3 linked regions of the Drosophila melanogaster genome follow. The gene in region 1 interacts genetically with each later gene. Each region holds a gene or a part of one and is shown on either strand. Other genes may lie near its edges. The genes, in order: Sk2, Calx and ifc.

Region 1 (3,755 bases):
ACCTGTGCGCGGTTAAAGGGGCGAGAGATGTTTGCGTTTCGCATTAATCGGTTCGCAGTTCGCGGCATCGCAATTAATTGACTCGCTCTGGACAGTCAGGCATGGCTAACCATGACGTCACTGCCTCGGACTGCAGTCTCTTTGCTTCTGTACGATCACAGCAGCGGTCAGTAAAAGGGCTCATAGATCGGCACAAACACTTGGTGCATTTTAGCCATAAAAAGTATAAATTGATTGATTGATTTTCCTATATCTAGAGGCATCTGTTAAATAACGTATACAATTGAAAATTTAAAACTAGTGTGGGTGCTATTAATTTGAACGCTTCTGTCTGTTCATAATTATTTAGAATATATGTATATAGGCACTTATAAATGTTTAATAATTAAAAAAGCAATTAAGTGGACGCCTGATACTGTTCATTTTGGAATTTTATAAAGCTTCGTCTTTGACTGATGAAGACCATACATATGTACTCCTCCGAAGAATTTAAAGCTAATCCGCTGACCGCTGCTGTGTGTGTATACACTTGTTTGGGCATTGGGAATCGAGATCGAGAGCCAAGAATAACCACTTGTTGGCTGCGTACTGACCTTGAAGTTGGTATCGCTGAAGCACTTGCAGGGACAGACGGGTCCCTCGATCTGCAGGACGGTATCGCCGCATGTGTTCTTGATGTTGAACTTGGGCCGCATGAAGGTGCAGACCTGCTCAACGCTACCGATCACCTGGCCGGGTGGCGCCGACACCTCCACGGCGTTCATGCAGCTGGGAAAGCAGCAGAGGATGTCGCACTTGAAGGGCCGGTACAGGTGGAGCACCTCGTTCTGAAAATTGTCCAGTATCTTCATCTCGAAGGGGCGCGACCGGCCGAGCATGTTGCGGGTGCAGCAGTCGCTCTCCTCGTACGCGAAGTACACATTCTGGCCCAGTGAGTTCTTCACCTTGAAGCGGTTCTTCGTCTCGAAGCCGGTGAGCAGCTCCAGTTTCTCGATCTTCTGCGACACGAGCAACTGGTCCAGAGCGGTCAGGTATTCCAGTCCCTGCGGGCAGTTGGGCATGCCCACGGGTATCGACATCCAGTTTTCTGCAATGGGGCGTTGTTCCGGATTAGCTCCCTATGTATTTATATTTATCTATATGCATAAAGTGCTTTTCCGATATCTATGCATGGGTAAAGGAAATTAGCATAGCTACAATGGCGGTCAGGCGATTAGGGCCAGTGATAGCAGTTCTTAACATAAACTAATATTTTAAACAATATGTATTTACGTATTGACTTGGAATCACTTCACTTTTTGGTACATTATAAAATATCTTTTTTACATAGATAACTATGGGTGCTATTGCCATGCCCGCTGCTGTACTAAATGCCAAGAAAGAGACGACGGCATTTCCGCCTTTCGCACACGCCCACTAGCCCACACAGACGCGCGCAACCGACTAGGTCCATCCGAGTGATGGAATTCAACAGTGGACAAATCCATATATGTCCATCGCTACGCACCAGGTCCGTTGGCATTGTTGCCAACATTCGCCGCCTGCGGCTGCAGGACCACTGCGCCATTCTCGTCCTGCGGTGCATTCTGCGGGAGCACCTTGTACTCGCTCATCTGCATCATTGTTATTCCCAGCAATTAAATTCGTATCGGATTCTTTAACAGTTCACAAAACACTAAATGCAGGGTGACCGCGTTGCGAACGCCGAAAAATGCAACGCAAATGCACCGTACGAAATATTCTGTCATATATTTTGGTATTTATTCGAACACAGAAAAATATCAACAAAAAGCTTTCAGCACTCAATGCAGTGACAAGTTAAATTTGTTATGAGCTGACGTTTTTGTGGATTCATTTGTATTATTGCATTGTATTGCAATAGTTTCCTTAAGCTAGCCTCTTTAAGTTCTAAGAATTTTGAGTTTATTTGTGCCAGTTGGTATATTCGCGCCTGCCACCGACGGTAACACTGCGGCTATGATTGGATGATAAGCGATCCATAAAAGCCTGGACACAAAAGACCTGAAACATGCTGCTTGGCAGCCGAATCTCCAGTCGAAATGAGCGAATCTCTTGATAAGACCACCAGCCCGAGCTCGGCCAGTTCCAGGGCCACGCCCCCGGGAACGCAGGATGCGGATGAGGGCCACGACGTGAGCGATACCTTCTACACGAGCCAGCGCAAGAAGGGCAGCCACGTATTTCGGGTGCGCCTTGACGCCACAGGATTCACCCTGCAGCGGGAGTCGCCGGGCGGTAGCATTGTTAAGGAGCAACATGTCCGCATATCGGACATTGTGGGTGCCCGCTGCATGCGGCCCAAGAAGAGCCGGCGCCTGGCGATGTCGGGCGCCTGTGCGTGCAGCTCCGGTAATCCCAATTCGCCAGCCATCTCGGCGTCCGGCGATCACCATCGCCCTGCCACCACACCAAGCAAATGCAGCACCAATAGTCGGGATAATATTCCTTCGGATGGCGGCGATGTCAGCGCGTTTCTCTACGTTTTTGCCTATGTTCTGAAGAAGAGGAGCCTGCGGTCGGAGTTGCACCGGGAGCGAACGGTGCTCACTCTGCGCTTCCGGTCGTTCGACACCTTCGAGGACAACATGAGGGAGGCGGATCGTTGGTACAGATCCCTTCGCTGGCAGTTGCATCGCACGCTGGAGGAGATCTTTGTGGCGCCGACGGTGGATGAGCGACGCCGTCGAGTGCTTGTGCTGTTGAATCCCAAATCCGGTTCCGGTGACGCTCGTGAGGTCTTCAACATGCACGTGACGCCGGTGCTCAACGAGGCCGAGGTGCCCTACGACCTGTATGTAACCAAGCATTCCAACTTTGCCATCGAGTTCTTGAGCACCAGGTGCCTGGACGCCTGGTGCTGCGTGGTGGCTGTCGGCGGAGACGGTCTCTTCCACGAGATAGTCAATGGACTGCTGCAGCGCCAGGACTGGGCCCACGTCCTGCCTCATCTGGCACTGGGAATCATTCCTTGCGGCTCCGGAAATGGATTGGCCCGCTCCATTGCCCATTGTTACAAGTATGTTATCTTTGTTTCATGTTTCATTAGGAAAAACCCCCTTTTGACTTATGTGGATCTTCATATTTCGTGTAAAACAATCCCTCCAGCGTCTAGCCATGCAGTTTATCATTAGATTACATTCATAAGCAAAAGTAGTTTTCTTATCGTGTCAAATGGTTTTGTTGTTTTGCAAGTGGGGATATCCCCTTAAAGTTAAATTGACGTCAGACTAGAACAAACTTTCCACATCGTTAAGTAATTGCCCCCCAATTTCGTTCAACATTTAGTGGCATATCATCGAACTTTGAAATCTTTATGTTCTTTCTTTATGTTCATCTATAGCTCAACTTCCCGATAAAAGAGTATAAAAAGGGTAATAGAAAAGAATGTTTATAGACTTTAAAACCACATTCAGGTGTCTCATATCCGATCTATTGGTCGTAATCCGATTATCAGTCTTGTGTTGAAACCTATTCACTTGAAACCTTTCTCCCCAGCGAACCATACTTCAGCAAGCCAGTGCTAGGAGCTGCTCTGACCGTAATCAGTGGACGCAGTTCACCCATGGACGTGGTCCGGGTGCAGCTGCAGAGTCGCTCCCTCTACTCCTTCCTGTCCATCGGCTGGGGTCTGATCTCGGACGTGGACATCGAGAGCGAGCGCATTCGCATGTTGGGCTACCAGCGCTTCACCGTGTGGACCCTCTACCGTCTGGTGAATCTGCGCACCTACAACG
Region 2 (3,755 bases), on another chromosome or scaffold:
TACTTATGGGACGACCTTCCTTCATTCATTGGTCAGTGAAAAGGAGCCCCTTAACCGAGTGAATGAATAAATGGCTATTTATTTGTACAAAGGGAAACAAAGTGAACTCTAAACTGAAATGGTAAGCAAATGTCAGGCAAGTGAAGCGAATGAAAGCTTGAATGATATTGACAAAGGCAAATGCTACCACCCATCGTCCTATGAATGAAAAAAGAACTCAAGGGGCTGGCCGACTTGGGCAGGAGTCGCGGGTTTTTTGCTTTTCAATTGTTTACTAGTCTCCGTGTTGATTGTTTTCTTTGGTTCCTTTCTATGGATACCCTATCAGATGGCATGATACTTTAGGCACTGTCTACAGTATAAGCGAAAAATTTCATCTAAGCGGGACAGTAAAATATACTTCATATAAATAATCATTTGTGGTTTAATGCTCTGAAATCTGAAATCATAAGCCTAACGTTTTCTGGCGAAGTTCTTTACTTTTTCTTGGGAGTCTTAATATACTTTATATGTTCATATGGGAGACGTGCCTTTTGGAATGTTAACATTATATCCCTTACTGACATTCGTTTCTTACAGCGTGTAAGAATCAAAGCTAGGATGCCATACAGCTTTATTTATAGTTAGTTATATCCTCTACAGTAAATACATTTCCGGATCACAAGCCGAGTCGATCATGATCAAGAAAATATGTAACGCCCAGAATTTGAAAAATGATCCAAAAAAAGTCCATTGCAGTTATGGTATGTGATAGTCGAGAAAGCCCAAAAACCAGCTGTCCACAAGGGAACTTAAAACTCGAACTTATGCCGATGTCAACTGGATTCCCCATTTGCTTTTCTTTTCTTCTGCGGTGCTGCTCGTCTCTTGATACTCACAAAAGACTCAATTAGGCGTTAGACAAAGACGGTGGACATAGCCATATGCTGCTTGGCCCAGAAGTTGTCGCTAATTCGCAGACAAAGGGCGAACGAGGGGCCAGTGGGCTTAATCGATAGAAAAACGAAAATGGGAAAACAAACTGACAATTGTCACGGACTGCCCCCGTCCGTTGTCAAGGTAAGACCGCCCGCACTATTCATACTCACATACACGGGGCGTATGCGTAATGCCTTAGCCATACCGCACGGCACTTCACATGTGGCGTATGATTAAGTCGTGCTTGGGTAGAATGCGCCTAAAACGAATACATTACCGGCAATCGGAGATGGAGGCGCCAGTGTGGCGAGCTGCAGGATCCGCTGCCGATGCTGCTGACACAATTTTCGCCGCTGCAGAGCTGCAACTGCAGAATGGCCGCACACAGATGCACCAGATATAGATACAGATACACAGATACAGATGCACGAAGCTGACGCCGAATTTGCGAATTTCGAGCTTGACACGAACACCCGGAGGCTGTTGAACCGCACCGCTCTGAACTCTTTTGGCTAGTTTTGTAGGTTTATGCCGTTTTCGTGCACATCCTTTCCTTTTCTTGCAGCTTCCTTTACAGTTGCATTTTTTGCAGCGGCTGCTGCAGTCCGCGTTGCCAAAAGTGAAAAGAGGCGGCCGGCACGGCGGTCGGTGGTCAATGGTCAATGGTCAGAAAACAGGTTCAAAAGTCGGCGACCGCAGGCGCAGGTCCTGTGTGTGTGTGTTACGAACGGGTGTGTGTGTTTGTACCGCACAACTTTCCCAAAAGTATGCAAAGATATTTAGCCTAGTTTCGACTCTCCGACAGCATCGTTGTTGATTTTTTGCTGCACTTTCTTGGCATTTTCTTTCAATTCATTTTTGCTCTCAAATTAATTTTGAAAATTTATTTATGGAAGATCATTTCACTAGCTTTAAACACTGTTTTTGTTTTTATTGTTGACTGAAGCACAACAAACACATCAACAAATACCTACATATATTTCTGTATATATGTGTATCTGTGTATGTTTCGCTGTGTAGTAAAAATAGTAAAACGCTCGGCACTTAAAATAGGAGAAGCGCAGCGAAAAACCGTTTGCCGCTGTTCTCTTCTATTGTTGTTGTTATTGTTTTGGTTGCTTCTTTCGTTGTCGTTGTTGTTGTATTTACCGCTGCTGCGTGTGGAAATCACGGAGAAAACGTTACACGCTCAAACGCCGGATAATGAAAGACTAACCTGCGAGCCAGTAACCGACTGCCACATTGGCCGACTGCCTCTTTAAAAATGCCGATTGTCGCGACACGAAGGGCACCCGAAATGCACACGAAGAGTGAGAGTGGCGAGTGCGAGGGCGGTGAAAGCGGGACAGATAAGGAAGAAAGTGCACAGGATAAGGAACAGAGTGGCAGTGGAACACTGGCCAGGCGATAACAACTGCGCCGCTCTCTCTCGCTGTCGCTCTCCGATGTTCCCCATCTTCCTCTCGTTGCAGTGGCGCATTTCGCAGGGGGTGTAAAGGTTTGGCGGGGAGGGTGGTGTAGAGGCATTGCTGGTTAGTATAGCCCACACCCACACCCCCTCCTCTACCACCCGCTGTCTTAGACAAGCAAGCGCATAAGTTTTTGACGCCCCTGTTAAGTCGGTTGGAAACAAGTTGCTGTACTCTATGCTTGGAAAATAGTCTATTAACAATAAGCACCGTTAGGGAAAGTGATTACTAGCAGATCGGGGTGCAAAAAAATATAAATTTTCAACACCCAATAAAGGTTCACGTGGCCAAATCTTTTATTTCTGAAAATTGTATTGTTTTATAATTTCTTAAGCTTAAAATATGATATTATTCACGCGTTGAAGTACAGTATTGATCTCAACATATACATTTTATTTAAATATATATATTTATTTATATTCAAAACCAAATTTGAGAAGTACATCGCCAATTCCAACTCAAATTGGCTAGAAAGCTTTTGATCGCATTGAAGTCAGCTTTTAAAAATAACTTAATTGGTATGTGTTTTACCGGATAAATGGCTTTCCCCTGTATAATTTTGATTTAGTTGATTGCGCCTTTTTACTTGGCTCTCTATGCAGCATCACGCCTACGAACTTTTTCAAGTCACTTATGCATTTTATTTTAATACCTATACATATTTTAATACCGCGCCATAAAAACTTCACTTAAAAAGTTAAATAATAATATTTTGTAGTTTTTTTTTTCTAATTATAAATCAGTTTTCCTAATTTAAAGTAATCTTCTTCTCTTCTATTATTATAATTCATGTATTAAATCAAAGCTAAAGCAGCAAATTAAGGCAATCGAATTAAGCAATGAATTAACATTTTAGTACTCCCCATCTACGGTTGTGTAATATGCCTCTCTAAATAATCGTAGGGTATCACCGGGGCTTTAAAGGTGGAATTCCTTACGAATGTTCTTTTGACTATGGCGACTGCGTTAGAATTTGGGGACCTGGATGGCTCGGCGGTTCGGCTGCTGACGGGCCCAGAACTGCGAACCGAATGGCGAGCTGTGCGAGGCGTCGTAAAAATAAATAAGCAAAACGGAAATTAATAAGACCCAAATGTTGCCGCTGTCGCAACGACCTCCCCATGTTGCCCCTGAGAGACCTGCCGCGACAATAGCGTTAGCCTTATGGCCATATAAACGCAGCAATGGAAACAGCAGCAGCGAAAGCAGCAAAAGTAGCGAAAGAGAAGCAAACGCTGCACGCCATTGCTGTAAGTACAGTACAGTACAGGAACATGTGTGCCAGTGTGTGCGCTCACAACCTTTTGCTACCTTGTATTTGGCGTCCATTTTTTTTCGTCCGCTTTCTGTTTGTTTTCGTTACGGATC
Region 3 (3,755 bases), on another chromosome or scaffold:
TAGTATAATAGGACAAGTATTACACACTAGATTTAACAGGCTTTCCAATTTATGAGGTAACAATTAATTAAAGCGCTCGAAAGTGCCTCTCAGTTAGGCCAACGAACCTAACTAAGCTCACACTCTAGCAATAATACCAAAAACTATATCCACGTAATTGTTCATATCAGCCGCTGCAAGTGTCCGAATGCCCCTTATCTAATCACAGAGATTAGCTGGTGCTATGTGTGTGGTTGTTCCCCTTATTTCTTCTGCATCCGCTGTAAATGTCTCTACGGTGTATATATACATAAAAAAGCCGTTTTAGGTCTAACGCTGAGATTACATTCATGGCAGGAAACCTTGAATAGCATCGATGGCTTAGGAGGCCAGGCCGCGCTGGCGTCGCTTCACGCGTGCGTAAGGTCCCACTGCTGGGTCCATGATGAAGTCGTACAGAACCCGGGTCCAGCTGGTGTGCTGTGGCATTGTGTCGTAGAATTCCTTAGCGATGCGCTTAACCTCTGGCAGCCTGGAGCCGGGCACCGCCGGAAAGTCGTGATGCTCGTTGTGGTAGCCCACATTGAAGGTGATCCAGTTGAGCGGACCGTAGTAGGAGTACGTCTCAAAGCCCTTGGCGAACATGTAGTGCTCCGAGATAAAGTGTCCGGCCACCGGGTGCAGTCCCATTGCTAGAATACTGCCGATCAACAGATAGGCCAGTGGCTTCCAGCCCAGAAAGTAAACGATCAGGGCGTTGAAAGTTAGCTGCACCACGGTGTTAATAATCTCCAGGCGTGTAGGTGGCTTCGGGTTAATAATCAGTGGACGGAAAATGTAAAAAAAAGGCTGCAGGCACACCCACAGAAATTTTCCAAATGTGGTGTCAAACAGGCGCGCCTCCAGCAGTGTGGGTATGTCAGTGTCAATTGCCTCATCACCTTGGTAACTGAAAGGACAAATAAACGTTACAGTTTATTGAGCTGGTGAACGGTGAACAATGTATGCATAGCATGTAGTTAGCAATATAATTTTTTTAGAATGCAGATAGTTTGTGATGATTTACGTACATGACTTATTTTAGACTTAGTTGGGACTGAGAAGCGAACATTTGGGATTGGGACGTTGTTGAACGACAATCAATGATCCGCCCAATGGTGCACCTGGGCGATAAGATAAACACTATCTACGACTAGAAACATAGTGAATGACTGTAACTGTAAACATAAACAACACTCATAAAATTAGTTTGAATAATATTTCGGGAACTTTTTGCGGAAGGCGAAGCAGTGACTCAACTGAACGCGACTTGCAGCCGAGAAGTCGAGTGGCAAATCACTGAGCTACGTGACCAATTGAGCGCCTATTCGGATACACATATAACTACAACCTTATCTAATCGGCGCAATTAAGACGCACTCGATGCCCGGCAAAAGGGAACAACATGAAAACTGATTCACAAGTTTGCGGGGTGAAAATTCACATGAAACCCAATGGAGAGCAATCAGTGTTGAACAACACAAGCCGGCTTTTAAATGGATAAATGCGGAATGGGATGATGTTTTCGCTGTTTACTGTGTGACTACGCCCTATTGCCCAGAGAAAAGTGTTAATGCCCATGTGTGCGTGAGGGTGCGGTTTAGGGTATGAATTCGAACCGATTGGCACGTACCGGTGATGTTCCAGATGGTACTTTTTGAAGGAAATGCTCATGGGCAACCCGATGGGCAGGTTGCAGATGAAGCCCAAGATCCGGTTGTGCATAGGTCTGCTGTGTCCAAAGGCCAGGTTGTGCGAGATCTCGTGAACGGCCAGCATCAACGAGTGGTTGATGATGCCGCCGAAGCAATAGGCGGCCACGATGAGCCACGACCACGACAGGTCCTTCACGACGAACAGCGCCAGGATCTGTGTGAGCACCATTGCGCCGGCCACCCACTTGAAATTCGGGTCGTGGCCAAAGAGCTTCTTGATCTGCGGGTACTTCTCCAGTATGATCTTGCGCCGCGAGGCGTGCGGCTCCTCCGTGTACACCCACTCGAAGTCGGTGCGCGAAACTTTCTGTCCCATCTTGGATGCTTGGACTGGTTGCGGTTATGGGTTATTACGGGTGACGTGCTACAGGTCGGTGTTAGTTGGCCAACATTATCGACCGGCGCGAGGAAGGAAACTGTCCAAACATCCAACTGGGCGGATTGAAAAATTAATATGACCTGACGTGATAGGGCTGCGAGTCGAATCGATAGATTATCGATAGCTTGTTATCAGAATTTCAACCGATAAGTTGATGTGAAGGCTTAACGAAATGCAACTTACCCACTGCGCTTTCGTTTTAAAAGTATATGCAGTGGAGTGGTGTTGAAAGTTTTAAAAAATTAGTTTAACTTTTGGAACTCATCTTGCTTAGAGAGCTGGTTTTAAAGCGAAAGCTTATGAAATTGGCTAAAAAGGTTTGGGTTAATATGAGGTTAACCCAAACCGTACGTAACAGATACATAAAAACTTTTCAAAAACAGCCATTTTCGTTCTACTGTTTTGAGATAAGGAATTTACTTCCGCTTTGTTAAACATAATCTACAATACCACCCAATTGTATATATCCACAGCTATATCAACTCATGCTATACACCCAATAGCGGCAACCATATATTTTTTGGCCATACCCCGAAAGATATATAGCTATATGTTAATACATTTATAGATCTGGGTGGATTCGCTGTGTGTTCGTGTTTAGCGTAAAATGTTGCTTCGGTTGTCAGCTGTTTTTTAGGAGTGGTATATTTAAACATAATGTGTACATATGTATTTTGTTTTGTTTTAATATATTTTTATCAATAGTTCTAGAAAAAGCTAAAACAAAGGTGCGGCAAAAAGGTGTTCTGATATTGTGGCTTTTGCGTTTAGTTCCTCGCTCTTCTTAGCAAGTGGTATCTTGTACCTGGTTTCAGATATTACTTTTTTTAGATAGATGCAAATGTTGTTTTAAGTTTTGTTTTTTTTTTTTTATATATTTGTATATATTTGTTGTTGCTGGTTGACAACGCAGTTTTAAAATTGATGATACACAGAGAACTAAATGGATACAGAGGGGTTCCGGCTAATCGGCAATTGGTGGTGGTGTTGCTGCCGCTTCCGCTGCTGCTGATGTTACTGCTGCTGCGCCGCTGCTGAAGATGTTGCTGCTCTGTCCTGGTTTAGTCCTTTTTTTGGGTGGTCGGTCGGCTGCCTTTTCGAATTAATATTTGAATAATAAATATTTAACTTGACTTGTTGATCTTTGAATAATTTATAGTTGCGCTCGGTTATCGATTTCGCAGTTCTTGTTTGCTGTTTTGCTCACTCACTTTTTGTTTAGAATTCTTTCTTAGTTGTTTTGCGGCTCAGCAGAAAAAATTTAAATCAAATCGGCAATATTAGCAGGCATTTCCTCAATTGTTGTGTGGTAGAACTGTTCAATATCCTTAAGGATTCGTCGATCATCATCTGTAATAAAGTTGATCGCAACACCCTTGCGACCGAAACGACCACCGCGACCAATTCTGAAATAGATTGAAAGTGATGGTATCATGTTTAGTATAGCACATAGCTGAGTAGATTCAGGGGCGAGGTGGTGAGCACTTACCTATGAATGTAGTTCTCGCGGTTCGAGGGCAGATCATAGTTGATGACCAACGACACCTGCTGCACATCAATACCGCGCGCCAGTAAATCAGTGGTAATCAGAACACGAGACGAGCCCGAACGGAATTGTTTCATGATGACCTCGCGATCACGCT

The links.
Region 2: of Sk2 (region 1) and Calx, changing one suppresses a phenotype caused by changing the other (phenotypic suppression), as found in Drosophila melanogaster (one study listed by BioGRID).
Region 3: of Sk2 (region 1) and ifc, changing one enhances a phenotype caused by changing the other (phenotypic enhancement), as found in Drosophila melanogaster (one study listed by BioGRID).

Annotation. Positions count from the first base shown.
Region 1 is NT_037436.4:3,045,130-3,048,884, forward strand, and holds the start of Sk2 (sphingosine kinase 2), read left to right. Parts: upstream 1-1,957; 5' UTR 1,958-2,060; coding exon 2,061-3,037; intron 3,038-3,516; coding exon 3,517-3,755. Other genes in the region: scramb2 (scramblase 2), read right to left, coding at 1-2, 594-1,087, 1,508-1,622.
Region 2 is NT_033777.3:20,976,561-20,980,315, reverse strand, and holds the start of Calx (Na/Ca-exchange protein), read right to left. Parts: upstream 2,134-3,755; 5' UTR 1,196-2,133; intron 1-1,195. UniProt on the Drosophila melanogaster protein: Na(+)/Ca(2+) antiporter that couples the energy of a Na(+) electrochemical gradient to the movement of Ca(2+) against an electrochemical gradient across a membrane, which contributes to the regulation of cytoplasmic Ca(2+) levels.
Region 3 is NT_033779.5:5,984,789-5,988,543, reverse strand, and holds the start of ifc (infertile crescent), read right to left. Parts: upstream 2,197-3,755; 5' UTR 2,050-2,196; coding exon 1,652-2,049; intron 1,467-1,651; exon of another isoform or gene 1,050-1,466; intron 929-1,049; coding exon 361-928; 3' UTR 1-360. Other genes in the region: eIF4A (eukaryotic translation initiation factor 4A), read right to left, coding at 3,374-3,518, 3,602-3,755. UniProt on the Drosophila melanogaster protein: Has sphingolipid-delta-4-desaturase activity.